7 linked regions of the Canis lupus familiaris genome follow. The protein of the gene in region 1 purifies or fractionates together with the protein of each later gene. This does not show direct contact. Links are inferred from orthologs where the notes say so. Each region holds a gene or a part of one and is shown in the gene's direction. Other genes may lie near its edges. The genes, in order: LARP7, DHX57, SERBP1, KPNB1, NOP56, HNRNPA1 and YTHDC2.

Region 1 (3,500 bases):
CCAGAAGAAGCACCAAGAAAACCTGGTGTATTTCCTAAGACAGTAAAAAATAAGCCCATTCCTGTCCTTAGAGTATCAGGTAATTTAATTCAATATTAATACTTAAGCATATGTAGTTGAAGGAAAATGAAAACTAATGATAGCATCGTTACAGAAGAAAAGAAAAAGAAGAAGAAGAAGAAAGGCCGAATGAAGAAGGAAGACAGTATCCAGACCAAAGAGTTAAATACGGACACAGATAAGGAGAGTGTTGCTAAAATGAAAAGATCGAGGACCACGTCTGAGGGATCAGAGGTAGAAATAACTGAACCCCAAAAGCCGCCCTCAAAGAAAAAGAAAAAACGGGAAAGACAAGAAGTATCCAGCCTACCTATAGTTAGAACAGGAAAGAGAAAGAGAAGTATTTCTGAAGAAGCAGAATCCCCAACTCCCAGGTCAAAAGTAAAGAAAGTGACTCAGAAAGACATTAAAAAAGAAGATTTAGAAGTTTCCAAAGAAAACAAAGGTATCAACAACATTTATCTTGAGCTTGTATAATCAAAGTTTTCTTAAACTTATGTCTTTCCTTTCTGGCATTTAAGATTTAGAAGTCTCTACTGAAGAGGAAAAGGATACTGGAGATGTGAAAGATGGATCCCTTTTAAAAGCAAAAAGGAAGCATAAGAAAAAACACAAAGAGAGGCACAAGATGGGAGAAGAAGTTATACCATTAAGAGTCCTTTCAAAGTAGGTAGACAATAGAGTTCTGGTGTAGATGGACACCCTCCATCACCATTGCTAAAGTGCAATTCCAATTTGTATTGAACAGAGTTGCATATTAGCAACAGTCATGGCATGTAGCCAAGATCTGCATAAATTATGGGATTAGGATGACTGAGGATTAAAAAGGAAACCACCACACTAAAACATGGAAGCACTTATTTTTATCATGTCACAGCAAGTGCCTCCATGTTAAAGTAGAGGGCGTTCCTTATAGACTCAAAAAAATACAGCGTAAGTATACCAGACAGGTAGTTCGGTGAGGCAGTCTTAAATATTTATAAACTTCTAAAATGTAAAAGTAAGACTTACCATCACTAAAACATGGAAGCACTTACTTTTTGAGTTTCAAAGCAAGTACATCCACGTTTAAGTGGTGGGGAGCCCAGTCTTGGAAAAACGTAAATTGTGAAGATTCTTTAACCTGTAAAGTAAGCTTAGAAATTAAGTCGTGTCCACTTGGAGACACCTCCACTGAAACATGGAAGCACTTACTTTTGTTTTACACAGCAGGTACCCCCATGTTAAAGCAAAGGGGAATCCCTCGGGGCTCTAAAATTAACAAACTTGCCATATTACATTCGGAGGAATAATTTGGGTTCACTTCTACTAAAACATGGAAGCACTTACTATTTTGAAAGTCAAAGAAAGTACTTCCATGTTAAAGTTAAAGGGAGTCCAATCCACTTGAGGGGTGGAAGGCAAGTTAAAAGAAAAAAAAATTCCATACCTTTGGGAAGAAAGATTTTCTTAATTTTCCCCGAATAGTACTCTCCCAGCGTTTTGTCTTCCCCTTGAAGGTTAAAAGGCAAGGACTTCGGGCACTTGTATTTATACTATTCTTAACTGCTGAATTCCTTTTGCCTTTTTATCTCTGAGAATCATTACAAGAGGTTTTTGTTATTCTAATGTATCAGCTCTCAGGGAATGTACGATCCTGGGTGGGTCTGGATACTTTTTTTTTTTTTTTTTGAAGTATACAGATGTCAATAATAACAGCTAAGACCATTACCACAAGATATCCTCCTCTTTAAAAAAAAAAAAAAAAATCCCCTATCTGCTAGTTTGATGGCATAGATTAGAGTAACAATGAGTGCTCCTGTGGAGCCTGGAGAGGCATTGTGTTTCTATCTGGAGGACCTCTAGCTGTTTGAAGAAACATCTACATGTTAAATGTATGTAAATAAATAAATTGCTTCCATGGGGTGTTTTTTTCTTCTTAGAAATTCCTTTTGATTCGGGTAAATAATAAAGGATGTTATCTCCCAAATTGGAAGCAGTTTAACTAATAATCTTTAAATTATAATCTGCAATTATTCTCCCAGAGATGACTAATTGTCACTAGTTAATTAATTCAAAATTTTTATTTTCATAAATAAAAATATTTGAAACATACTCAAGAATTGAATTGCAAAATTTAAAACATTTAATCTAAATGTTAGGTCAGGGGAAACTTCCCTTTTCATATTTCCTGGATCGCTTAGAACTCTAGAAGTAATTTGAATGTGTGTGTTTAAAGAAGGAAAAGTTAGGAGCGCTTACAAGATACTGAATGTATGTATTTAGATATTTACTTTTGCTCATCTGTGTTCACTATTTCAAAAGTGCATTCTTTTCATTGCAGGAGCGAATGGATGGATTTGAAAAAAGAGTATTTAGCACTGCAAAAGGCCAGCATGGCTTCCTTAAAAAAAACGATATCCCAAATGAAATCAGAGTCAAAAATGGAAACAAATGGAGTACCTACTACATCTGAAATAAAAACTGAAAAAAGTAAACAGCACTATGATAGTTTTTGTAGCATTACATAATTAAATTTTCATTCTTCATCAGATTTAGTAATGAGTGCCTAGTTTATGAATTAAGCAAGTTTTGTAGTAACAAAAATTGTAATTTCTCATCCGTAACTTATCCTAATATATTAAGATATTATTTTGAATTCTTAAAAGTTGAAAGTATAATTTTTTCACATTTTAATCATGTTTATAGAATCTTTTTACTTATTTTGTGTCTATTAAGTTCAGTACTTTTTTATTTGATTAAGGGAAAGGGTCGGGGTTTGTTTTTTTAAGGTTTTACAAATGTTTTTCTAACAACACTTTGCAATTAGAGTGGTATAAGTTACGGTATTTTATTTCATGGTAATCTGCAATAAGCAGGACAGGCAACATAACTTACTAAATTATTTTACAGTTAATTTAAAATTAAGTTTGAATTAATTATTTAAATCAGCTTAAGTCTTCATTGTTATTCTAAAATGGGCCTACTATGTTAACTTATTAAGTGTAAGAGGCTTATTTCTGGCCTTTCCTTTTCAAATCAACAGCAAACAGTGAAGAGTGTTGTTCCCAGGAAAAGGTTAATGCAGCGGGACCACAGTTTGTGAGTGGCGTGATTGTGAAGATCATTAGCACTGAGCCTCTACCTGGCAGGAAACAAGTCAGGGTAATGCTTTTGTGTGTCAGGGGTAGTTGTTAACTCTTTCCTCTTTAAAATTTCCCTGTATGAAAATGTTTTGCATTATAGAAAACCAAGCAAATCAAATTAGAATTTATTCCTCTGTGGAAAAATACTTGTATGATTTGATTCCACAATAATTATTGTGTTTGATTTGAAGCAAAATCTGAAGTCTAAAATTGTACACTAGATCAGACTTGAGTACAGTTTAAACATCCTTTTATAGAACTGTACTTTTTTCTTATTTTTCAAGGTGCCCTTAATGGTTGTTGTGTAGTTGAATG
Region 2 (3,953 bases), on another chromosome or scaffold:
AACCAATTAGCAATCTAGGAAATGAATAACATAATTGGTGTAATGACTGAATAGCATAATGGATACAACGGAAAAGTAAATTGGTGAACTGGGATACGAAGTTGCAATTTTTTCCCAGAAAAAAAGCACAAAGAAAAAGACAGGTATCACCTGAGCAAAGCCTTTCTTATCTCCCCTCACCCTAGACTCATCTAGGCGTCTCCACACACTTAGAACCCTGTTAAAACAACGCTTTTGTGCTGGAATCCCCAATCACAATACCCAGCTCGCCCAGGTCAGGGATCAGGGATTAGTCAAATCTTTTTTTTCTCACTCTAGTGTCCAGTTTAGTACTTAGTGGTAGGTGCTTAGTACTTGTTCGTAGGAACTGAATGTCTAGTGAATGAATGGCACTTGGGAAGCAGGCATTAAGTGCTTACCAAGCAGTGCTTTATCATACAAAAAAAACCTGTTGTTTTTTTTTTAAGATTTTATTTATTTATTCATGAAAGACACAGAGAGAGAGGCAGAGACAGAAGCAGGCACCATGCAGAGAGCCCGACGTGGGACTCGATCCCAGGTCTCCAGGATCACACCCTGGGCTGAAGGCAGCGCTAAACTGCTGAGCCACCCAAGGATTCCCAAAAAAAACCTGTTTTCAAATGCCCTTAAATTGCTCCACATTTGAAACTTTGTAATGTTAGAGCGAGGGAGAACCTAAGAGATGTGGAGACCATCTGGCACCACAGAGGAAACTGAAACCCAGAGATGATGGCACTTGACTAAGATTTCACAACAGCCAGTCGATGGCCGAATCAGAGGTAGAATCCAGGTGTTCTGATCCCCAGGCCAGGCGGGTTCTCCGTGTGCCCCACGCCATGCCCAGTGTAGACGATCAGGAAGTAAGTCACAGCCACACCGGAGCCACCAGGGGCCACGCTGCGGCGTAAGGGGAGTTCTCCTTGGGGCAGCCCTGTGCCCTTCCGCGCTCGGGGCATTGGGAGGAGGGGCACTCACTCGACAGAGGTGTGTGGCAGAGATTTTCTTGACTCCGCGATTCCTCCGGGGCCGCCAGCTCTACCGCAATGAGGGAACCAAGGGCTAAGTGGGTGCGGAGCGCGCCCTGGTTGCCGGGGCGACGAGGCACCTCTCACCCGGAAGTGAATATGCGAGGGGCCGAAGCGGAGCCAATCAGAAGACAGCAGGTTGTGCTGCCGCAGAAGGGCCGCGGCGGAGCCGCTCCAGGTGAGGTCGCGGTGGGTGGCGAAGCCCTGGCGGGACCCCTCGCCTGTGGGCGCTGCCTCCGACCGCCGCCCCGGGAAGCAGGCTGCGAGCCCACCACGGCCTCCCGTTCCGCGGACCAGGGATGTGTGCCGCCGTGGTTGTCGGTGTGCGGAGCCGTCCCCCGCCTCCCTCCCCGGGGTGGTCGGGGTGTGAGGAGCGTCCGGCCGGGTGGATCCAGGCAGGCCGCCCGGGGCCGGTGGGTCTGCACCAGCAGGATCCCGGGTTGTCCGCGTCCCGGCTGGAGGGGTAAAGAGTTGCATTGGAGAGGCTCGGGTTTCCTTTCTTGTCCCTGGTCATCTGGGTCTGAGTGTTTGCTGGCAGAAAGGTACCAGGTGTGGGCATCTGCGTGGAGCTGGCTCTATGGGGCCAGAGGTTTGCTGGGAAGGGAGTGGGTGTGATCGGTTTTAAGTATCCCGTTTGGTGATTCTGCGCCTGGGGGCCTGTTTTGGGTGTGAAACAAAGGATCCTCTTTGAGCCCAACTTAGGTCCCTGTGTCCACGGTGAAGAAAAAGTAGTTGGAATCTTCCCAGGCTAAATGGAATAAAATAGTAGATTTATCCTTGTAGATGATACAACCCAATTCCCATTCCCTCGAGAACATCTGGAGTGAGTCGTATTGGATACAGCCAGCAAGTCTTCCTTCAACATTTTGAGAGCAGATCGCAGATCAGGTTGTGAAGGTGACTTTTTTTTTTTTTTTTTTTGGATGGGTGTGAGACAGGTTGTTGATCGTTGTTAGCCAAGCTGGCTGGGGCTTGCTCTGGTTGGCTACCCACTCTTTAAAAGTCAGAGCGCGGTAACTTCTTGCTTTTTTCCTAATGTATTTTACTTACACAAACTTACCTGGTCTGGGTGTTTTTTGAGCCGAAGTTCTGATCTTTCTGTCTGATTTGTATATCCTTTCCCTTTTTCTGAGTTCTAGAAATAATAAGTAATTATTGATGCACAACTTTACAGAATTCAGTTTGTCCTATTTTTTTGACCTCTTGTTACGCTTTTAATGACCCTACATTTTTGTGAGTATATATATACATATAAGCACCACTGTTTTTACAGAAGAATTTGAGGTAGTTGGGCTTCTTAGGATATTCTTATCTAAGAGATCTGGAGTCAGGAAACTTGCAATGAAGGGATTTAAATTTTTTTTTTTATTTAATCATGAGACACAGAGAGAGAGAGAGAGAGGCAGAGACACAGGCAGGGAAGAAGCCGGCTCTTTATAGCAGGCTGGTCCCTGGGATCCTGCTGGTCCAGACTCACCGGCCCCGGTCAGCCTGCCTGGATCCCACCTGGCCTATGCAGGACTAGATCCCAGATCCCAGAATCACAACCCAAGCCAAAGGCAGCCGCCCAAACACTGAGCCACCCAGGGTGTTACGGGATTTTAAATTTGGATTGGAAAAGTGTATTAATCATTTTTTATTTTCCATATTTTATTATATGTTGACACCTTAGGGGCCTGGCTCGCCAAGAAACTGCCCTTGGCAGGGATAGTTAACGGACCTTGACCTGTGAACATGCTTTTCATATGCAGACCGACCCCCAACGACCTACCTGCTTTAAGTAATTTTTGCCCACCAAGCCAATTTTTCCCTACCCCCAAATCAACCCAGGGTCAGGTCACAGGCAACCAGGACAGCCCCTATGCCCCAAGTCTGCTGGAATTATTTTAACTGGCCAATCCTAAACTGTTTATTCTGCCTGCCTTTCCTGTGGAAACCCTAAGAAGGACTATGGCTTTGCCTTCCCCTGGCTCCTTTGTGCCTCCTGACTGACACTTGGTGCTTCCTCCTGTGGCCTGGCCTGGCGTGGCGTGATGTACTTCTCTCCTTTCTGGCCAAACGGGGAATAACGTTACACTTTTCTTTTGGTGACATTGACCTCTTCTTGTCACTTTTATAAATTAAGTCCCAGGCACAAATCCAAAGAAGTCTGGTTTATCACTGAACTTTGCATTGACGATACAAGGTACATATTGATGGTGAGGAGGAGGAGATACGGTAGAAAGAATTTTGGCTGGGACACCCAGGTGGCTCAGGGCGTGGAGTCCCAGGATTGAGTCCCGCATTGGGCTCCCTGCATGGAGCCTGCTTCTCCCTCTGCCTGTGTCTCTGCCTCTCTCTCTGTGTTTCTCATGAATAAATAAATCTTAAAAAAAAAAAAAAAAAGAATTTTGGCTTTGATGTCAAACAGATTGTTTCAAACCCTGGCTTCAGACTTTGCTTCTACACATTAGGTGACATTAGACAAGTTATATAATTTACTTGTCCTCTAAGCTCCTCCTCTGTAACATATAGATGATAATATTTACTGTACTAGATTTTTAGAGGGTTACATGAAATAATCTTACCTTTCCCCTCAATGCAGACTGGTATATTCAACTACCTTCAGTATGTCTCCATGTAAGTATCTAATTGGCATCTCAAAGGCAACATATCCAATCTGCATTTGTGACGCCCTCCCCAGATCTTTTCCTCCCCAATATTCCAATTCTGAGCACATGACACCACTATTTACCCAGTTAACCTAGGCCAAAATTGTAGACATTTCTTTCTCATACTTTTCGTCTAATTCATCTACATTTAAAATACATTCAGAAAATCTGTGACCAGTTTTCAACTCTACTACTCCCACTCTAGTCCAAACCACCTTATTTTTCCTCTATTTGTTCTGCCTGAACAACTGCAATA
Region 3 (4,005 bases), on another chromosome or scaffold:
ATAGGTAAAATTCTCTGAGGAGCACAAGTAAACCTCAGAAACTCATAGCCACACAATTCCTCTAAATGGGGCTTATCTGTAAGTATTCTTATTGTAATAACACTTGATAGTCATAAAGATCTGTTTGAGGAAACCAGGGATCTATACATAAGATAAAAATTGCTAAGGATAGTCCTACCCCACTCCCTAGCTTGTGGTAACATGGGTAAGTTAGTAAGAGTTTTACCAAATATGTTTGAATATGCACTGACATCATCTATTGCCTTACTGGACCTTAATATTCCCAACTAATATCAATACTTTTAGTAATGGCAATTAATTTGCTGACATATTTTCCCTACCCTCATCGCATCCCTCGGCACCCTTACACACTCGGATGCTTTAAAACGTTTCTTGAGCACATTTTACTAACACCTAATCCTTGGCTTCCCGGACGCTAATGGACAACTGGATTGACTTCAGAAAGTGTTCCTACAAACAGTGCTTTTCGAGGCTTGCCCTCTGTCTAGTTAGTGCCGCACTGTTAGGAGTTAGCTGCGATGAATGCACCCATCGCAACACTCAGGAAAGGCGCGCAACACCGCCCTGTGAGACAGTTCAACTCGTCTCTGATTAATTGCGCTAACCCAGTTCGTGTCCCCGCGAGAGAAACCGTATTCCTCCTCACATTGAACAGAAGAGTCTCGATTCATTATTGGCGGTGCAAGAGGGCGACTCCAGCACCTGGGCAGCTAGGGACTTGGAACGGATCGGGACCTGCCTCCGCGAGGCCCGCGGGGTACCTCAGCAACACCCTAGCACTAGAAGTTTGTAAAATCTGGAGTCACCTTGACCCACCCCCGGAGGTGAGGAAAGTTAGTCCTGGACTGGAGACGGGGTGAGTAAAACCAGAGACAGAGAACTTTCGCGAGCGAAAAACGCCGTCACGTTTTCCTGTTTTCGGTGTAGCTCAAGACCCAGAGAGTTTAAGGGTGGCTGGAGCAGGTGGCAGGACTCCGCCCACCACCGCGCTTCCACTCCCTCTGCTAGCACGCTCCACTCCCTCCGTGAGGTCCCGCCTCTTAGGCGCGCGCGAAGAATTGTCACGCCACGCATCCTGGGAATTGTAGTCTTGGCGCCGGGGGCCGCCTCAGGAGAAGCGACTCTGGCCTACATACCCCATAGTGCCGTGCGGCGCTGGCCGCTCCCGGATGTGTGCCTGGCGCCGGAAGAGAAGCCGGCCCCCCTCTCTCGGCCCGGCCATCTTGTGGGAAGAGCTGAAGCAGGCGCTCTTGGCTCGGCGCGGCCCGCTGCAATCCGTGGAGGAACGCGCCGCCGAGCCACCATCATGCCTGGGCACTTACAGGAAGGCTTCGGCTGCGTGGTCACCAACCGATTCGACCAGTTATTTGACGACGAATCGGACCCCTTTGAGGTGTTGAAGGCAGCAGAGAACAAGAAAAAAGAAGCCGGCGGGGGCGGCGTTGGGGGCCCTGGGGCCAAGAGCGCAGCTCAGGCCGCAGCCCAGACCAACTCCAGCGCGGCAGGCAAACAGCTGCGTAAAGAGTCCCAGAAAGACCGCAAGAACCCGCTGCCCCCCAGCGTTGGCGTGGTTGACAAGAAAGAGGAGACGCAGCCGCCCGTGGCGCTTAAGAAAGAAGGTAAAGCTGTGGTGGAAGGTGGGGGAGACCGGGATGGAGGGAAGGAGCGAGGGGGACTTGCGGCTACCACTTGCTTTCGGAGTTCCGAGGGCCCGCGGGAGGCTTGGCCGCCGATTGCCTCCCGTTTCTCCTCGCGCTACAAAAGCCAGGTCCCGCGAAGGTGCCGGGAGCGTGGTAGCCCCAAGTTGAAGCCACCTGCGAGGCTCCTGGAGTCACCCCCTTCCCGCCTCAGTTTCTGAGCGGAGGAGCGTGCCCCGGAGATAAGCTGCTGCTGCTCGAGCGCGCTGCTGTCCTGGGAGGCTGTTGCCTTCCCGCCGGATTCCTTGGCGGGCAGGCGCGGCGACCGAGGTCTGAGGTCTGGGCGAGCTGGCCACTGACTGAAGCATTTGCAGTTACGGGCAGGCGTGGGGTCCACGGCCCCTTCCCACTCGGAGCTCGCCCTCGGCGTGCTGCTTTGAGGTGCGCTTGGCTCCTCTCCTGCCATCTTGTCCCACGAGGGCGCGGAGTACCCCCCAGCGAGACGCCGGGGGTCCGAGTGCACCTGACCTACTTCTGGGTTCCGTGGAGTGAGCTACGGCTTCAGGTGCCCCATGTGCCGTGTAGTCCCCTCTCCTCCCTTCAACTCGTAAGAACAACTAACTTGCTGGAGCGAATTAAGCTTTTGAGAAGACAAATGTGCTTACACTGTGGTAAGCAGAGGCGGGAATTCTGAACGAAGACTGGTTATTGCAGGAAATCCTGAGCTCGTCCTCTCTCCCCGACACCCCATCCCACCCCCTCACTCAATATTTCGTGTGGTGGCCCGGCCGGGGCCTCGTGGTGAATTGAGTGCAGAGGCTGTCACAACGTTAGCCCCAGCAGAGCGCTTTTGAATCTGTAGCTTTTTTCTCCACGTGTGCGTGAAGCATGGTCGGGATTCATTGGCGGGTAATAGTTGTTTCCAGAGGTCACTGTAAACTTCACAGGGTTGTCTTGAGGTTGATTTCTGCATTCTCTTATTGCTGGTTTGCCTTCTGTGTGGACAATAAAGCAAAAACAGTTGGAGGATAAAACGTGTACCCGATCAGCTCCGGAACTTTAAAAGTTGCCTTTTTATGTTAAAAGTTGAAATTACCTTTTACTGCCACGTGCTCCTGAAAGAAGTTGTTTCTCATTAGTTTTGAATTTTGTAGCATACAACTAATTTTCAGAATCACCAATTGTGTTAGGTTTTGGCTCAAGGTTTTTTTTTTTTTTTTTTTTTTTAATACAGAACTCCTGTGATGCTTGGAATGAAGAACCTATGATGAATAAAACAAAATAATTCTTGTATCAAAATTACAGGTTGGGGAGAAGCAGAATTTGGAGTGTTGGAAAGCTGGGTATACTTCGTTTAGACCAAATATCTATTCAGTCATCTTAAGTTTTAAAGCAACCTGTAGCACAGCTAAATAATTATTTAATTTCTGCGTTAAGGGACACAGGCCTGTGTTAATTATTATTTTTGCTCAAGTTTACCTCCTTGATCTCATTAATCCAAAAAAGTGCCTGAAAACGTTGAGCCTAATGTTTAAATCTTAAGTGTACCAGGTAGATGTGTTTCACCCATTTTGAATGTTTAAAGCATGAAACCTGGTTTAAACCCCTCAGTTGTTTTGATCATAAAGCCCATCTTGGAGGAGGTAAGCGCTTAACCTGGGACCTAGTATTTTAAATTACAGAGGTGGAGAATTATTATATGAGTTTATAACCAGAATGGAGTTCACCATTTAGTACTCTTTCCTTGGGAAAACTTCCATATTAGCTATCAACGTCTTCCTTAGATCAGCAATACATAGCAGTCTTGCTCTTAAATTGCATAAAACATAGTCTTAAAAATAAAAGGGAAATGTTGAATGAAAAAGATTTTTTTTCAGACCCTACTACCTGTCAGTTGATGTTCAGGGGCATTGGAGAAGGATAGACTTGTAAAAAGTCCACTTCGTGCAGTGGGAAAAATTGCTACCTGATTATGTGATCTTTGCCTTTGAATATAGGTCCTGGCAAATGCTAGACATACCTTAGATACAGTATCTAACATGATAGGAGTTTTGTCACTTGTCTTTTGTCCATTTGAAGAATTTGAGAACTGACACCACAGAATGTCATCGCTAAAAATGTAGACCAAGGCGTTTTTAAATTTTTTTTTTTTTTTTTCCGAAGCCTGGAATCGACTGAAAATCCAGTGAGTTTGCAAGTACATACAAGTAGGTTAAGAGAAGCTTGAATTTTTAAATGTCAGTCATAGGGTGAAATTATTTAGTAAATTTTTTAGGTTCTGTAAGCATAATAGTGAAATTGGGTGAGGAAGGAAGCCATTGTTCATTTGGGTGTGTTTGGCTTGGAT
Region 4 (3,500 bases), on another chromosome or scaffold:
AAAGTCCAGGTAGTCTCTGTATTGTCCCCAGCTGTGAAACTAAAAGTAGCCCATGAAAAGCAGGATATTAGATGCCTCAACCTAGCACCCTGAAAAAACGTTTTTTTCCCTTTTTTTTTTTTAAACCACTGAGCTCTTGTCATCATCATTCCCAGTGAATATTGTCATTTCCGTCCCTTCTTAATATCTTGAAGAGTCTTCACTCTTTTTCTGCTGTATGGATTGTTAAAATGAACTCGGGGTGCCTAGGTGCCTCCTCAGTTGGTTAAGCATCTGAGTCTTGATCTCAGGGTTTTTAAGTTCAAGCCTGCGATGGGTTCTACACTGTGCATGGGGCCTACTTAACTTACTTGAGGAGATAGATGTGTTTTTTTCTTCAGCTCTAGGCTCAAGTGATAAAGGACCAGTGGCCAAATAAAAATAATGGCCTTATCCTGCAGGTGGCCTTTTCTGTTTCGGAGATCATTTCCTTGACTCTTTGCAGGTTTGTTTGGCAGCTGTGGGCTTAGTAGGAGACTTATGCCGAGCTCTGCAGTCCAACATCTTACCTTTCTGTGATGAGGTGATGCAGCTCCTGCTGGAAAACCTGGGGGTGAGTGTCTACACACATAATCTAATTTACTAGCGTTTGAAGAAATTGGAAAAGATGATTAAAAACGAAGTGAGGGCACAGACGGGTTGCCAGGATGTTGGCCTTAGCCTCATGAAGAAAATTATTCATTTTCATTTTCACAATGTGATTCTACAAAGTAAGGTTGTAAAATTAACTAAAGGAAGCCATGAGCAATACGTGGAACAGGGTGGGCAGGAAGGCCAGTAAAATATATGTGTAGTTCCTCTGTCCAGAGATAGCCACTGTTAATTTTTGGGTATGTCCTTAAGGTCTGTACAGGTATGTCCTTAAGGTCTGTACAGTGTATTAGTAGTTTTATTATTTTAAAAATGTTTCTTTAACCTTTAGACAGAATATTTTGGCTTTAATTAATTTGATTTCCCTCTTTTTCTCCCCTGCCCCCGGTCAGAATGAAAATGTCCACAGGTCTGTGAAACCACAGATTCTGTCAGTGTTTGGTGATATTGCTCTTGCTATTGGTGGAGAGTTTAAAAAATATCTAGAGGTTGTCTTGAATACTCTTCAGCAGGCCTCCCAAGCCCAGGTGGACAAGGTGAGCTTAAAGTTGTCTTTTATGTCCAGCCCTGATGGGATGAATGGGATTTCTGACAATCCTACAACTAAAGGCTCTTGGTATGATGTCTTTTACAGTCAGACTATGACATGGTGGACTACCTGAATGAGCTAAGAGAAGGCTGCTTGGAGGCCTATACCGGAATTGTCCAGGGATTGAAGGGAGACCAGGAAAACGTGCACCGTTGAGTATAAAACCCAGTGGACTTAGTCCAGAGTTCATGTAGCCAAATGGGCTGTGTCTTTGGTTCTGTAGCTTATGAACTAGCACCTATTGCTTAGAAGAAGGGGAGAAGGAGAAGGAACAGTACCCTCATGAAGAAAGTAGCTTTGGAAGAGTATCCAAAGATATAGTCTTTGCTATTTCAGCCCCGCTTCCTCTACTTTGTCTTACCTTTCTTGAGCACCATAAGGAATGGGATCCAGCAAGGCTATTGGTGCTAGTCATATCAACATGAGCCCTGAGTGGCAGTTGTTGAGCGTATACACACCACACATACACACTTCCAGTGCAATTGAATTAAAAGATTAAGAGAGCACATTTCCTCTCCCACATGATGTTTCTGTTATTGATTGGGGAAATATTTGTCCTTTACGTCTTTTGATGTCATGGGCTTAGAGGAGAGGTTCCATTTGTTATTTCTATGCTTATAAGAGGAGTATCTGCCTCTTTTGTTAGCGTGAAGGATGACCTCTTGATTTGAGGAATAGTTTGATATAACTATATGCAACTAATTCTCCAGCCTAAACCTGCCTAATCGGGGTAATATATTTGGAAATTTTGAAATGGGGTATATAGTCCTACCAAAGGTGGGGCAGCTTCATCAGACCTTTTCTTTTCTATTATAGCGGATGTCATGCTGGTACAACCCAGAGTAGAATTTATTCTGTCTTTCATTGACCACATTGCTGGAGATGAGGATCATACAGACGGAGTAGTAGCTTGTGCTGCTGGACTGATAGGGTAGGTTATATCCTATTTCCAACAGCTGAATAGAACTTCTCGTGGAAAATGAGAAGACCTGTGGTAAAGAACTTTTGAGAGTAGCCTAAATGGTAATTACCCACTTATTTGGTATGGCTATTTCTTTAATAGAATCCATGGTGTCCTGTTTCAAGTTCTGACAGGTGATCATTCATTCTAGACCTTAGCTCTAGTCTCATCCCAGACCCTCCAGATTTCTAACTTCTCTTCGGTAAAGTCTGTAAAGTGAATTCTCAGAGGTATAGAAGTAGCATCAGATGTGTGTCCATCCCATATTCTGAGATTGGTCAACAGATTGCCTATGTTTAGCCTCCCCTATTGAAAGTTTCTGAGATATCATTAGAAGAAAGAACCACAAATTAGTTGTGGACCTCAGGGTAAGTCATCCTGTCTCTTTAGACCTCCTTTTTCACGTCTTTAGAGATCAGGTGCTTGACTTTCCCTAAAATTTCTTCCAACTTTAAAAGCTAGGCGAATCCTAGGAGACCCACAATTAGCTTAGCACTGGCTCAAAACAGGAAAGCAGGATGAGGCCAGGAGCTCATTTAGGTGTGTTTATTTTGCACAGGGACTTGTGTACAGCATTTGGAAAGGATGTACTGAAATTAGTAGAAGCTAGGCCAATGATCCATGAACTGTTAACAGAAGGACGGAGATCGAAGACTAACAAAGCAAAAACCCTTGCTACATGGGCAACAAAAGAACTGAGGAAACTGAAGAACCAAGCTTGGTAAGAGCTTGTCCCCACTGCCCTCTTTCTTCCACTTTCTAGGGGAGGAGGCACAGTTTCTTCAGACTGTTCCAACAAGGGATGCCTTTCTCTTGGTGTTTTGTTTTGTACTCTCTCCCATATAAGTGCTTTTGAGCCAAGCCTTAGTTCCTTAGGCTTGTACTAGTGGAGGGGTTGGGCATCCTCAGTATTTCCTTGAGCCAAGTGTTTGATTCCTCTTGGTGATGAAGAACAGAACTTATGTAACTAGAAGTCAGTGAAGTCCCCAACTGATTTTGGGCCCTAATAAAGTTACTGGTAATGGCATTTTCCCAGAATTCTCTTTTCTACTCTATTCCCTTCCTCCTGCTCTTTCCTTTTTTTTTTTTTTACTGCAATGCTTTTAGGCATTGTGTGGCTCTGCAGAAGATGTCCCAAGTCAAGAGTTGTCTGACCCCTACTTTTATATGTAGTTTTAATTTATTCTCCTCTCACATGCTCATCCTCTTACTCCATAGATCTCAGTAAAACACTATTTTGAGTTTTATCTTTTTAGTGTCCCTGCCACCTTCTAATGTAAGTGCTAATGAGAGCAGGTAGTTGGCACATAGGAATACAAG
Region 5 (4,003 bases), on another chromosome or scaffold:
CTTTAGTAGATAAGCACCTGTAACCCCAGGATTATTTAGGGTTAAGTACAGAAATAATGAAAAAATCAGTCATAGCATTACTATTTTCCATTATATTTTGGAATCATCTGCTTAACTTGGTATCTATAATTTAAAAGAACTTAACACACTGATGTATGTAACATTAGTTTTGCAATTCCACCTTAAAATGAGACAGTAATGAAAAAAAAGAGAGACAGTAATGGATTCAGACTCATGATCATATGTAAATGTATGTAGCAGAATTCAATCACGTTTTAAGCAATACTGAGATTTTTAAGATTCACTGCATCTTTGAGGGAGCTCACTATTTGGATTTTGTTTACCAAGGAAATGAATTGCTTAAGAAGAAAATGCATTAAGTGTGTAAATGCGCTTTAAGTTATGGGAATATAGGGAATAAAAATCCCCTCAAAAAAATTTTTTAATTTACCACTTTAGGATAAACAAGTGTGGGGTTTATCATTCTTATATTACTTACTAAAGTAAAGGTAATTTCAAATTAGTCGCCAGAATGCCCAAACCCCGCCCTCAAGGACCTGGAAGCACCTGAGAGCGCTTGGAGCTACTGCGGGTTCCGCGGGCGGGCGGGCGGGCGGGGCGAGCAACACGTGGCCCTTCCCAAGGGACCGGTCCTGCTTCCGTGGGGGACCTAGAAACCGACCTGGGAGCAGGTGAGATGGTCACCCTTTTCTATTTTATCGCCTGTAATAAGCATTTTTGAAATAATAAACAAAATGCACCCGAAAGGCAAGAGGCGGGACACGAGGAGCCGTGGGTCTCCTTTCACCGGGTCTGCGCACACGCGCCACAGGCCCCGCTTCCGCCCGCGGGAATAGCGTGGCCCCCGAGCGGGAAGCGGAGACGGCGGGGCCCCGGGGTGGGGGGGAAGGCCCCGGACCCCCGGACCCCCGGCCACCGGCGCCGCGCAAGGGGGAACGGCCTCCCGCCCGGCTCCTCCTAAGGGAGCTCCGCCACCCGGATCCCCGCGAGGCGGACCCGAGGGGCCGGGGCGTTCTCCGGAGAAGCGCCTTCCCGACCCGCTTTGCGGCCTCGCGGGGCCGGGCCCAGGCCGCGCGTCCCCGGCAACCGCGCGGAGCGGCGCCGCGGCAGAAGGCGGAAGACGCCCGCGCGCCCGCGCTGGCCCTCCCGCCCTCCGGGCGACACCACCGCCGCGGACCCCTCCGAAGTCCCGCAAAGGTATCGTCCCCGGCCTCTGATTGGCCGGCGGCTCGGGGGCGTGGCCTCCGGAGCCCGGGTCCGCGCGCCAGACCCCGCTCGCCGCATTGCGAGCCGGGCCGGGAGCGGGCGCCATGGTGAGGAGTGGTTGTGGGCGCGGGGGAGACGAAGGCCGAGGTTGGGGCCGAGTCGGGGCGGGGGCCGGGGCCGGGGCCGGGGCCGGGGCCTGCGCTGGGAGCCGGGGCGGGCGAACGCGGAGACCGTGCTGACGCTCGCGCCCGGCTCCGTTCCAGGTTCTCCTGCACGTGCTGTTCGAGCACGCGGTCGGCTACGCGCTGCTGGCGCTCAAGGAGGTGGAGGAGATCAGCCTGCTGCTGCCGCAGGTGGGTGGAAGCGGTGGGCTCGCCGCCGCGCCGCAGCCCCCCGGGCCGCCGGGCCCCAGCATGCACCGCGCGCTCCCACGTGGCCGGCCGCGCTTTGGGGGGTGCGCTGGGCCGGAAAGCCCGGGAGCCGGGGGTCCTCCGCTGCATCCGTGCCTACAGTCGCGTTGGGAGCATGTAGAAGCCAGCACCCCGGGATTTAGGGCCTGTAATCGGCTCCTTTACGGAGAACCGCTGCTTTACTGCGCCCTAGAGGCAAGAGCGAGGGAGGAAAGCCATTCACGCTCTCTTCTCCCCGAAGGTGGAGGAGTGCGTGCTCAACTTGGGCAAGTTCCACAACATCGTTCGCCTCGTGGCCTTTTGTCCCTTCGCCTCGTCCCAGGTTGCCTTGGAAAATGCCAACGCTGTGTCCGAAGGTGAGTCGACCACCACCAGGTAGGTATTTGAGGGAGATGACCGCAGGGTTAGTAGCTGCTGCTCTTATTCTCATAGGGAGTTCATGATCCCGTTTTCCTTTCCTCAGCTGATTTCTTACAAATCTGATACGTGTTGGGCAGTATTTGATGTGTACAGGATGTAGTTTAAAACAGAACCCAAGGTCTGGAGAATATGGTATGCTAAAAGTTTAAAGTGTATATTCCAGGATAGAGGCTTTCTTTGTGGTCCTGACAGCGATAAATGATTAAGTGAAATCTGGTAGGTGTGCTTTAATGCTAAAGGTGGTTCTTTGGTTATTATTGAAGTGATTGGAAAAGGCAAGAAAAATAAGTTCAGTTCCAAAAGGCGAATCAAATACTAAATACTTAACCTCTATAGTTTCTCCGGGTTTAAGGTTTCAATTCTGTATTTCACACTCATGCTATCAGACCTGAGTCCTATTCCTCCCATAGTTGATGCAGGCTTTGCAGTGATGACTTGAGTCTGTCAATCCCCTGAGTGCAATCACTGATGTCTCCATGTCTCTGAGCAAAGCCTAAAGCAAAGAAGGAACTCAGCATGCTCTGTGGGACAAATGTAGGATCAGTCTGTCATTTAATTAGCAGTTAAGGGGACAGGATCCCTTTTATGATTTCAGCATGTTAGTGGGAGCTCTATTCTTTGCCTTGAGGTGTCGTTCATGAGGACCTCCGCCTGCTCTTGGAGACTCACCTGCCATCCAAAAAGAAGAAAGTACTCCTGGGGGTTGGAGACCCCAAGATCGGTGCTGCTATACAAGAAGAGTTAGGGTACAACTGCCAGACTGGAGGCGTGATAGCTGAGATCCTGCGAGGTGGGACCACCTATTAACATTCACAACATTCTTGACATCTCTGAGGGGGGATCTAGTCACTTAACCAGGGTGCATAAGGTTGCTTCTAGGAAGCCCTTCTGCTTGGCTTGGTGCCCATGGGCGCCGTAACTGGCTTAGAGCCTTCCCTTGCTCACTGACTTGTCCTCTTCCAGGGGTTCGTCTGCACTTCCACAACCTGGTGAAAGGTCTGACAGATCTGTCTGCTTGTAAAGCCCAGTTGGGGCTGGGACACAGCTATTCTCGTGCCAAAGTTAAGTTTAATGTGAACCGGGTGGACAATATGATTATCCAGTCCATCAGCCTCCTGGACCAGCTGGATAAGGACATTAATACTTTTTCCATGCGTGTCAGGTAAAGTGCCCAAGTGACCCTTGAAAATAGGGTCTTTGGCCTGTGGTGTAGCTAATTTCACATGCTGAAATCAGGACCACTTCCTGTGGGGTGGGGCTGAGCCTCCCAGTGCTTACCACAGGCTGTGTTCTTACACTGGCTGTACAGAAAGAGGAGGTAGAGTAAATCCACCCATATACACCCCAGCCTAGGCTCTTTGCCTGGTCTGTATTGTGAATGGGAGGACACGGAGTTGAGGTTTTGAATTGTACTTGATTCCTTTTCTCTGGGTAAAGAATAGATAGAGGGCTGAGGTTGTAGCTTTGAGATCTAGTCGCTGAGCAAGGAGTGATTGTGGCTCTCTGCAGGGAGTGGTATGGGTATCACTTTCCTGAGCTGGTGAAGATCATCAACGATAATGCTACATACTGCCGCCTTGCTCAGTTCATTGGGAACCGAAGGGAGCTGAATGAGGAGAAGCTTGAGAAGCTGGAAGAGCTGACAATGGATGGGGCCAAGGCTAAGGCTATTCTGGATGCCTCGCGATCCTCCATGGGTCAGTATAGCCTGGTGACCAAAATAAATTTGGGGCTGTGGATATCTGGTCCTGCATTCACACTAGGTGTCCCTTAGGCATGGACATATCGGCCATCGACCTGATAAACATCGAGAGCTTCTCCAGTCGTGTGGTGTCTTTGTCAGAGTACCGCCAGAGCCTGCATACTTACCTGCGGTCCAAGATGAGCCAAGTAGCCCCCAGCCTCTCAGCCCTAATTGGGGAAGCGGTGCGTTGTGGGGAACATAA
Region 6 (4,218 bases), on another chromosome or scaffold:
ACACTTCTCCTGCGGGCTCACGAGCATCCGCCACCGGTCCGGGGAAGGCCGCGGCGTTCCGCGCACACGTGGGTCGGCGCCTGTCCGCGACGGCAGCGGCTCTTGTTCCGATGCGCGCGGACGCTGCCGGCCAAGCGGGTTCCCGACGACCGGCCGAGCTCCCCTGGGAGCCTCCACGCGCGGGGCGACCAGAAGCCCCGGGGTGCGTGTGCGCGTGCGCGTGCGCGAGCGCGTGGAGCGGTTATGCCGAAGCCGAAGCGACACGCCACAGAGTCAGGGTCTCCCTACCGGAAACGCGTGTGGGGTGAAGGCCCGAGCGCCGGGCGCCGGCGGCCACTGTGGAGAGAACGCGCGCCCCCGCGCCCCCGCGCCCTCCCGCCCGCTCCTCCACAGCCCGCAGCGAGGCCTCCCGCTTCCGCACCGCTGACTGGGCGACCCGCCCGGGCGCCGTCCGCAGGCCGCCCGCCGCCGGCTCCACAGCGGGGCCTCCCCCTCGGAGTCCGCCCGCCGCCTCCGAGGAGCCCAACCTACGGCGCGCTCGGCGCCCATTGGCTCGGCGGGACGCTGCTCAGGGCGCAGGGCCCGCCCCCACGTCCCGAGGGCCCGAGGGCCCGTCCGTCGGCGGCAAAGGCGGACCCGATTGGCCCGCGCGCAAGCCAGTCAGACTCCGGGCCGCGGAGCCCCACGGCACTCCCGGCCGGCAGACATCCCGCCCCCGCCGTCCATTGGTTGGCTGAACCCAGCGCTCCCCCTTTACGAGCCCCCACCCCGCGCTCCATTCATTTCACACAATAACGGGCCCAATTGGAGTCAGTTCAACACCTCGTATGAGTAGGCGAGACGATCCGCCGCTTACCCGGAATCGAGACCGGCCACTCGCGCCAACGCCTCCCCTGTTCCTCTGTGGCGAGGCCGGACCACGGGACGCCGCCGCCGCCGCCTTCTGCGCAACGCCAACCGCCCGCCAAAACGGATCCTTCCCTGCGCCTGCGCGGCCAATCCTGCGACCGGACCCTTTCTCCGCCCATTACGCCTGCGCAGAGCGGGGCGCGACTCCCGCCACGACGCAGGCGCCGTAGAGTCGCCGCCGTCTCCCGCCCGCCATTTCACGTGCTCCAAGCGCCGAGCGGAACTGGTTAGTGCGCCTGCGTAAACTCGCCATTTTACTACACATGCGCCCGGCGGGCGGTCGTTTGCAAAAAAAAAAAAAAAGAAAAAAAAATCACCTGATAACCTCGTTCGTAATATATTAGCATTTACCGTGCTTCGCCAACTGAGCGGAACATAATTTCGGGGCGGAATGGATTGAAAATTCATTTAAATACCTTAGGTTCGTTCAAATATGAATGACTGGTTGACGAGCCAATCACAGTAATTAGGAATAATATTACCCGGGAACCAATAGACCTGAAGGGGCGGAGCCTGCGTAGAACGCCCAAGCGGATGACGTTGCGCAGCAGTGCGGGGCTATAGACCAATAGCAGGGGGAGGCTATCGCAAACATCCAATCAGAGACGCTCAGGGGCGGAGTCTACCAATGCCTAAAGCGAGGAGGCGGGATAAAAAAGCGAGGCCGAAGGTAGGCTGGCAGATACGTTCGTTAGATTACTCCTTTCTGCCCCTGGACGCCGCCGAGTAAGCATCGTTAAAGTCTCCCCTCCCACCGCCGTCATGTCTAAGTCAGAGGTGAGTAACACGCTGTCTCCCGCCTAGTTTCCTTCCTCACTCCTTCCCTGGGGCCGGTAGGACGCGGCCTGGCGTGGCCGCTCGCGCCAGCCCGTTCGGCAGCCCTTCGGGGGCCGCCAGGGCCTTCCCCTCCCGAAGTTGAGGTCGCCATTTTGTCCTCGTCGTCGCCATGAGGCCGCCGTCCTGCAGCGCTTGGCTGTGGCGCCGGGCTGCGCCCTCCCGGCAGAACTCGCGGGCGCATTCGACGGGTTTTGTTTGATCGTGTCTCCGGGAGCGAGTTTCTTGCGGAGCAGCCGTAGTTCCCCGCCGCTTCGGCGTCCGTCCAGCCGAGTCCTTTTGTTGCGCGTGCGTCGGAGGGAGAGTCGGGGCGCATGCGCCCGCGGCCTCCCAGCCCCCACCGCTCGGTCCCCCCCGAGGGGAGAAGCACGTGGCCTCCCGTAACCCGAGGGAACAATACGTGCCTTGTAACGCTGCTGTCTAGGATTTTCCTCCCAACGGGACGGGGCTGGGCGTTGGGCGCGCCACGTAACGAGCTGTGTCCCCGCTCCTAGTCTCCCAAAGAGCCCGAGCAGCTGCGGAAACTCTTCATCGGAGGTTTGAGCTTCGAAACGACCGATGAGAGTCTGAGGAGCCATTTTGAGCAATGGGGGACGCTTACGGACTGTGTGGTAAGACGTGCCGGAGACGGAGGGCCCGGGAGCGAGGTGGCTTCCGCCGCTCCGACGGCGGTTAACGGGACTGGGGCGGAGAGCCGGCCGGCGCCGGAAGGGGTGGTCCCAGCCGCGGAGGCGCTCCCGGGAGGAGATGCACGTGTGGCGGCCCCGGGGAGCCGGAGGGCCTCGTGGGCGGGCGGGGGGGGGGGGGAGGGGGCGCGCTTTTCTTTTTTTTTTTTTTTTTCTTTTTCTTTTTTTAATTTGTAACTCAGCGTGAGAAGTTCCGGGGTTCTCCTCAGTATTCAGGGAGCTCACCTTTCAGGTAATGAGAGACCCCAACACCAAGCGCTCCAGAGGCTTTGGGTTCGTCACGTACGCCACCGTGGAGGAGGTGGACGCGGCCATGAACGCCCGGCCGCACAAGGTGGACGGAAGAGTCGTGGAACCAAAGAGGGCTGTCTCCCGAGAAGTGAGTGAGGGTTTATTCTTTCCTGGGCAGACGCAGAAGCGGGCCGCCAAGGGGACCTCGCGGTTAGGGGTGGCTTGGTCGGTGTAAATAACGGAATTGTGTCCGTCCCGTCCCCCCCCCCAACAATAGGATTCTCAAAGACCCGGTGCCCACTTAACTGTGAAAAAGATTTTTGTCGGTGGCATTAAAGAAGACACTGAAGAACATCATCTAAGAGATTATTTTGAACAGTATGGGAAAATCGAAGTGATTGAGATCATGACTGACCGAGGCAGTGGCAAAAAGAGAGGTTTCGCTTTTGTGACCTTTGATGACCACGACTCTGTAGACAAGATTGTCAGTAAGTGTCGGGCATGCTCTTTGCTACGGCTTCTGAAATCCATGTTACGTTCTAAAGCCTGAGGTCATGTTCTCTTGGAATTTTTTTTTTTTTTTTAGTTCAAAAATACCATACTGTGAATGGCCACAACTGTGAAGTAAGGAAAGCCCTATCGAAGCAAGAGATGGCTAGTGCTTCGTCCAGCCAAAGAGGTGCGTTTGTTCAGTTAATCCTTGCACGTGAGGATTAATTAACTGAGTGATTCTCCAATCCGTATAATGTAACATTTAAAACTTTTGTGTTTTAAGGCCGAAGTGGTTCTGGAAACTTTGGTGGTGGTCGTGGAGGTGGTTTTGGTGGGAATGACAACTTTGGTCGTGGAGGGAACTTCAGTGGTCGAGGTAAGTTTACCACTCAAAGTTAACAATAAATTTATACTTTGATTATCCCCAGGTCCCTTTTTCCTCTGCAGCAGATTAACTCCTGGCTTAAATTTTATCCAAGTGTAGATCTGGCTTTTTACTAACCAGAAAGTTAAATCATCAACATTGGGATCATTTTTGTAGCACAGGAAGTATCTTTATAGAATTCTACTTTAAAACAACATAGAACACGTATACTCTGTACACTTCATGGTGGTTTAAAACTCTACTTTCTTTCAGGTGGCTTCGGTGGCAGTCGAGGTGGTGGTGGATATGGTGGCAGTGGGGATGGCTATAACGGATTTGGTAATGACGGTAAGTTTATTTTAAGGAATATATAGGTGGAGTTTCGTTTGGCAACCTTTAGACTAGGTTAGTAGAGCTAAACTAGTGCATGATAAACAGCTCTGATAACAGCATGCTGTGAGCAGGCTTTTAGGCATTACACTTGCACAGGTTTTGACTGTGAAATACTTTTGTCTTATTGAGAAGAATTGTATTCTTGTAGGTGGTTATGGAGGAGGCGGCCCTGGTTACTCTGGAGGAAGCAGAGGCTATGGAAGTGGTGGACAGGGTTATGGAAACCAGGGCAGTGGCTATGGCGGGAGTGGCAGCTATGACAGCTATAACAACGGAGGAGGCGGAGGCGGCTATGGCGGTGGTAGTGGT
Region 7 (4,246 bases), on another chromosome or scaffold:
AACTATGTAAATGTAAAGTTCCTCTGATGGTAATGAACTTGATGTGTTCAAGTGACAGAAAGTAGTGCATTTGAGCCCTGAAAATGAGGATGAGATGGTGAGAGATGAGATTCACGGAAATAGGGCAGAGGCCATTTCAGGCAAGTTTTTTTTTTTTTTTAAAGATATTTTATTTATTTATTCATAGAGACACACAGAGAGAGAGAGAGGCAGAGACAGAAGCAGGCTCCAAGCAGAGAGCCTGACGTGGGACTCGATTTAGGGTCTCCAGGGTCTCCGGGATCACGCCCTGGGCTGCAGGCGGCGCTAAACCGCTGTGCCACCGGGGCTGCCCTCAGGCAGGGTTTTGAGTCATGGTAAAAAATTGTGGGCTTGTAGTAGTTGCAATGGGGGAGCTACAGGAGCGCTTCATGTAGGAGTGTCATCCTACCTGGTTTATATTTTAAATATAAAATTTATATTTTCTTTATAATATAAAATATAAGCCAGGTTCACTCTGGCTGCTCTCTGCAGAATGGACCATGGGAAAACCAGAGTGGAAGCAGTTAGGGTGGCTGGGATCAGGTTTCTCTTAGTGGCGTTGTGTGCAAGCAATTGCACATTCTCACAACCTCCTTTGACCTTCAAAACAGGAGTTCCATTTTCCTTCTTCATCATCTCCTATAGCACTTACGACTATCATTTAAAACAATATTATATATATTCATGAGATAGGCAGAGACACAGGCAGAGGGAGAAGCCGGCCCCCTGCAGGGAGCTCGATGTGGGATTCTATCCCAGGGCCCCAGGATCAAGACCTGAGCCACCAGGTGCCCCTTATAATCATCATTTGACATCATTTAAGCACAATTGTTTATTGTTTGTCATTCTCCTTTAGGGCGGCCACCTAAAACACAGGCGCTCTGTTAAAATTGCATTTCGGGTAGAATAACTTTTTTTTTTTTTTTTAAACTATATGTGTTCCGGAATATTGCATGGGAAATACTAAAAAACGACTCCTCTTTTGAAATTCAAAGAAACGGGGCATCCTGCATTTCTGTGTGCTAAACCTAGCAACTCTACCCCGGCTAGAATGTGAGCTCGGTGAGGGCAGGAGGCACGTCTGTCTGTCCGGTCCCCTCCTGTACCCGGGGTGCAGCCCAGCGCCTGCCGGGCACAGAGCGGAAGCCCGCACCGGCTCACGGCGTGAAGTAACGAAGGATTTAAGGAAAGAATGAGTGACTGAATAAAAGGACGCACGGGATCCCCTCCGTGCGGCGGGGTGTGGGCGGAGGACGCGGAGACCGGAGAGGACCGACAGAATTGGCCCGGCGCCGGGTGAGGGAAGCACAGCAGGGGCCGGCTTCGGCCGGGCGGCGAGGGGCCGCCGACGCGCTGAGGTCACCGGCGCCCGCGGCCCCCGTGACGTCATCACGCCCGCGCTCTCCGCTCCGCCGGGACGAGTGGCGCCGCCGCCTCCTCGGCTGCTGTGACGGGGGCTCTCTGGTGACCCTGGCCCAGAGCAGGCTGCCTGCGGAGCGGAGCGGGCCGGGCCCGGCAGCGGCCCTCTGTCCCTGTCATTGACCGCCAGCGCGCAGGCCTGGCCGCTCCGCCGCGGGGAGAACTCCTCAGGGCCATGTCCAGGCCGAGCAGCGTCTCCCCGCGGCCGCCGGCTCCTGGTGGCGGCGGGGGCGGCCCAGCTCCGTGCGGCCCGGGGGGCGGGGGCCGGGCTAAGGGGCTGAAGGACATTCGTATAGACGAGGAGGTGAAGATCGCGGTCAATATCGCTCTGGAGCGCTTCCGGTACGGGGACCAGAGAGGTGAGGTTCCCGACCGGGCCCGCCGGCTGCTCCGCCTCCCGCGAAGCCGCGACCCGGCGTGTGAAGGGGCTGCCTCAGGGGGTGGGGGAGGGAAGACCTGGGCGCCCCCTGCCCCCCCGGCCCACTGCAGCCGGCCTCCGCGGCGGGTGGGCGGGAGGCGCTACGCGGGGGAGCGCTCCCTGGGATGCGCGGCGTCAGGCGGCTCCGCAGGCTTGAGGCGCTTGCCGGGCACTCCTGAGAAGGTGGGAAGCGTCGGGCTGCCCCCTTGCAGGAGGCGGTTCTTTCCCTAGAGAGGGCTGGAGGCAGCTTGGGGCGTCTAAGCCACAGTTTTTAGATATTGGTAAAAACTGGTTTTGGTAGATTAAACGTCTTTCACGCCTCTTAAGGGTCGGCTCCTTGTCTTGCGTCGTGCCGTGCAGAACCCTCAGCCAACCCGCGGGGACCAGTGCCCATTCATTTTCTTGCCTAAGTAGGGGACTCTTCAAGCCCAGAACAGGCAGTGACTTGGACGGAGTGAACTTAGATTAAACAGAGCCTCACTAATATGTAACAACAAATCCAGTCTAAGATAGTGAAATATGAATTCTGTGCAGTTTTGCAAGCAAAGACAGTGTGATGTTGAGCATTCATAATGCTTGAGCATACCTCAGCACGGGAGGAGATGAACCGTTTGTTAATGATGCAAGTTAAGGACTGAATTAAAATAGTAAAACACATTCATCAGTCTGTCATCATACCAAAAGAAGATTTCAGCACAAATAAGAGGAGTAATCTTTGGTGAACATTAGAATCCTCTATCACGTTTAGATTTAATTTTTATTAATATGGTAACTCTGGCAGACATTCAATTTTATTGAAATAATATCTGCTTTTCATACAAAATATAAATTTGATTATATGCTTATATGATTTTCTTTTTTTTAGAGCTTTTTAAAATTTTTATTTAAATTTATTTTTTTTAAAGATTTTATTTATTCATAAGAGACACAGATAGAGAGGCAGAGGCTTAGGCAGAGGGAGAAAGCCTCAGGCTCGGCACAGGAACCCTGATGTGGGACTTGATCCCAGGACCCCAGGATCAGGGCCTGAGCCAAAGGCAGATGCTCAACCACTGAGCCACCCAGGTACCCCATATTTTATTTAAATGTAATTTGCCAACATATAGTATAACACCCAGTGCTCATCCCATCAAGTGCCCTCTTTAGTGCCCTCACCCAGTTACCTATCCCCCAACACCCTCCCCTTCTGCAACCCATTTTTCCCAGAGTGGAGTTTCTCAGGTGGGGGGGAGGGGTAGACAGGGAGAGAGGGAGAGAATCTTAAGCAGGCTCTATGCCCATCAAGAAACCCTACTTGGGGCTGGATCTCACAACCCTAAGATCATGAGGGGAGCAGAAATCAAGATTTTTTTTCATTTTTTATATCTATGTTTGTATATTGAGGCACCTTGAAAGATAATTGTATATTCCCATTTTTTTTTTTTTTTTTAATGTAGAAATGGAATTTCCTTCTTCTTTGACCAGCACTGAAAGAGCCTTTATTCATCGATTGAGTCAGTCTCTTGGTTTGGTCTCTAAAAGCAAAGGGTAAGCTGATAGCTTTTCTTATTTAAAAAGAATTATTTACCAAAAAAAGAGAGAAATGTTTCTCACTCCATTTAAGGAGTTATTGTTTTAGATTCATGTCCTTAATTATATTGTTTGTAGATAAATTGATTAGTATCTATACCAAACTCAGCTCTTTCCTTTTCCTGGTATCCTGCCCTTTTTTGTTTTTCCTTAGGGGTAAAAAAAATTTTTAAATGCAAGGAAATAGTTTAAAAGTTGAAATTGCTTGCTTGAGGAAATGTTTTCTTTTTTCATAGAAACTAAATCTCCTTTTTTAAAAAGGATAGATAGACTAAAGATAATAAGTATGATTATCTACAGAAGTATTTCTTTTAATGTTACTGTACTATAGTGGTAACTGTAGAATACATAATCATTGTTTTCTTTCTTACCAGCTCAAGAATCTGATAATTAGAAATGGCTAAATACAATGGACCAGGAAGAAACAGCATATGTTTTTTTGAGGGCCACTGACCCCTAACGGAAAAAAGTCATTTGAACCATCCAAATTGAAGAACTCTAAAATTATGTGGAACAATTTCATTTTGGGAATAAGGGTGCTAGGATTGATACATAGCAAGGTTTCTTAATATTGGCACTATTAACATTTTGAACTGGATAATTATTGTGGAGGGCTGTCTTGTGTATTGTAGCATATCTGACCTTACCCAGTAGTACCTCCACCTGCAAAACCAAAAATGTCTTTAGACATTGCCAAAATGTTCTGTGGGGAGCAGAATTTCCAGTGAGGAGGGAAAGAAAGATAAAATTTCAGCTTAGCAGGGTTTAGGTTAAGAAGAGAGATAATAGGGCAGCCCGGATGGTTCAGAGGTTTAGTGC

Evidence for each region.
Region 2: the proteins of LARP7 (region 1) and DHX57 purify together in Homo sapiens (affinity purification with mass spectrometry; 3 studies listed by BioGRID and IntAct, with this or other methods). This does not show direct contact. The link is inferred for Canis lupus familiaris from reciprocal best matches to the Homo sapiens genes LARP7 and DHX57.
Region 3: the proteins of LARP7 (region 1) and SERBP1 purify together in Homo sapiens (affinity purification with mass spectrometry; 3 studies listed by BioGRID). This does not show direct contact. The link is inferred for Canis lupus familiaris from reciprocal best matches to the Homo sapiens genes LARP7 and SERBP1.
Region 4: the proteins of LARP7 (region 1) and KPNB1 purify together in Homo sapiens (affinity purification with mass spectrometry; 3 studies listed by BioGRID and IntAct, with this or other methods). This does not show direct contact. The link is inferred for Canis lupus familiaris from reciprocal best matches to the Homo sapiens genes LARP7 and KPNB1.
Region 5: the proteins of LARP7 (region 1) and NOP56 purify together in Homo sapiens (affinity purification with mass spectrometry; 3 studies listed by BioGRID and IntAct, with this or other methods). This does not show direct contact. The link is inferred for Canis lupus familiaris from reciprocal best matches to the Homo sapiens genes LARP7 and NOP56.
Region 6: the proteins of LARP7 (region 1) and HNRNPA1 purify together in Homo sapiens (affinity purification with mass spectrometry; 4 studies listed by BioGRID). This does not show direct contact. The link is inferred for Canis lupus familiaris from reciprocal best matches to the Homo sapiens genes LARP7 and HNRNPA1.
Region 7: the proteins of LARP7 (region 1) and YTHDC2 purify together in Homo sapiens (affinity purification with mass spectrometry; 3 studies listed by BioGRID and IntAct, with this or other methods). This does not show direct contact. The link is inferred for Canis lupus familiaris from reciprocal best matches to the Homo sapiens genes LARP7 and YTHDC2.

Annotation. Positions count from the first base shown.
Region 1 is NC_049253.1:7,458,554-7,462,053, reverse strand, and holds part of LARP7 (la-related protein 7), read left to right. Parts: coding exon 1-79; intron 80-154; coding exon 155-505; intron 506-581; coding exon 582-726; intron 727-765; exon of another isoform or gene 766-833; intron 834-893; exon of another isoform or gene 894-963; intron 964-1,070; exon of another isoform or gene 1,071-1,139; intron 1,140-1,227; exon of another isoform or gene 1,228-1,295; intron 1,296-1,361; exon of another isoform or gene 1,362-1,436; intron 1,437-2,383; coding exon 2,384-2,532; intron 2,533-3,085; coding exon 3,086-3,204; intron 3,205-3,500. UniProt on the Homo sapiens protein: RNA-binding protein that specifically binds distinct small nuclear RNA (snRNAs) and regulates their processing and function.
Region 2 is NC_049238.1:31,071,694-31,075,646, reverse strand, and holds the start of DHX57 (putative ATP-dependent RNA helicase DHX57), read left to right. Parts: upstream 1-1,153; 5' UTR 1,154-1,224; intron 1,225-1,732; exon of another isoform or gene 1,733-1,943; intron 1,944-3,953. UniProt on the Homo sapiens protein: Probable ATP-binding RNA helicase.
Region 3 is NC_049226.1:43,506,323-43,510,327, forward strand, and holds the start of SERBP1 (plasminogen activator inhibitor 1 RNA-binding protein), read left to right. Parts: upstream 1-1,205; 5' UTR 1,206-1,327; coding exon 1,328-1,640; intron 1,641-3,198; exon of another isoform or gene 3,199-3,213; coding exon of another isoform or gene 3,214-3,301; intron 3,302-4,005. UniProt on the Homo sapiens protein: Ribosome-binding protein that promotes ribosome hibernation, a process during which ribosomes are stabilized in an inactive state and preserved from proteasomal degradation.
Region 4 is NC_049230.1:23,975,271-23,978,770, forward strand, and holds part of KPNB1 (importin subunit beta-1), read left to right. Parts: intron 1-484; coding exon 485-592; intron 593-1,022; coding exon 1,023-1,166; intron 1,167-1,264; coding exon 1,265-1,370; intron 1,371-2,035; coding exon 2,036-2,150; intron 2,151-2,739; coding exon 2,740-2,901; intron 2,902-3,500.
Region 5 is NC_049245.1:19,017,361-19,021,363, reverse strand, and holds the start of NOP56 (nucleolar protein 56), read left to right. Parts: upstream 1-1,203; 5' UTR 1,204-1,331; coding exon 1,332-1,334; intron 1,335-1,490; coding exon 1,491-1,580; intron 1,581-1,878; coding exon 1,879-1,993; intron 1,994-2,479; exon of another isoform or gene 2,480-2,547; intron 2,548-2,685; coding exon 2,686-2,847; intron 2,848-3,020; coding exon 3,021-3,219; intron 3,220-3,318; exon of another isoform or gene 3,319-3,449; intron 3,450-3,566; coding exon 3,567-3,754; intron 3,755-3,831; coding exon 3,832-3,983; intron 3,984-4,003. UniProt on the Homo sapiens protein: Involved in the early to middle stages of 60S ribosomal subunit biogenesis. Required for the biogenesis of box C/D snoRNAs such U3, U8 and U14 snoRNAs. Part of the small subunit (SSU) processome, first precursor of the small eukaryotic ribosomal subunit.
Region 6 is NC_049248.1:45,637,728-45,641,945, forward strand, and holds the start of HNRNPA1 (heterogeneous nuclear ribonucleoprotein A1), read left to right. Parts: upstream 1-1,418; 5' UTR 1,419-1,671; coding exon 1,672-1,686; intron 1,687-2,237; coding exon 2,238-2,354; intron 2,355-2,661; coding exon 2,662-2,808; intron 2,809-2,937; coding exon 2,938-3,148; intron 3,149-3,246; coding exon 3,247-3,339; intron 3,340-3,435; coding exon 3,436-3,528; intron 3,529-3,789; coding exon 3,790-3,864; intron 3,865-4,057; coding exon 4,058-4,216; intron 4,217-4,218. UniProt on the Homo sapiens protein: Involved in the packaging of pre-mRNA into hnRNP particles, transport of poly(A) mRNA from the nucleus to the cytoplasm and modulation of splice site selection.
Region 7 is NC_049232.1:3,802,006-3,806,251, forward strand, and holds the start of YTHDC2 (3'-5' RNA helicase YTHDC2), read left to right. Parts: upstream 1-1,446; 5' UTR 1,447-1,615; coding exon 1,616-1,799; intron 1,800-3,294; coding exon 3,295-3,385; intron 3,386-4,246. UniProt on the Homo sapiens protein: 3'-5' RNA helicase that plays a key role in the male and female germline by promoting transition from mitotic to meiotic divisions in stem cells.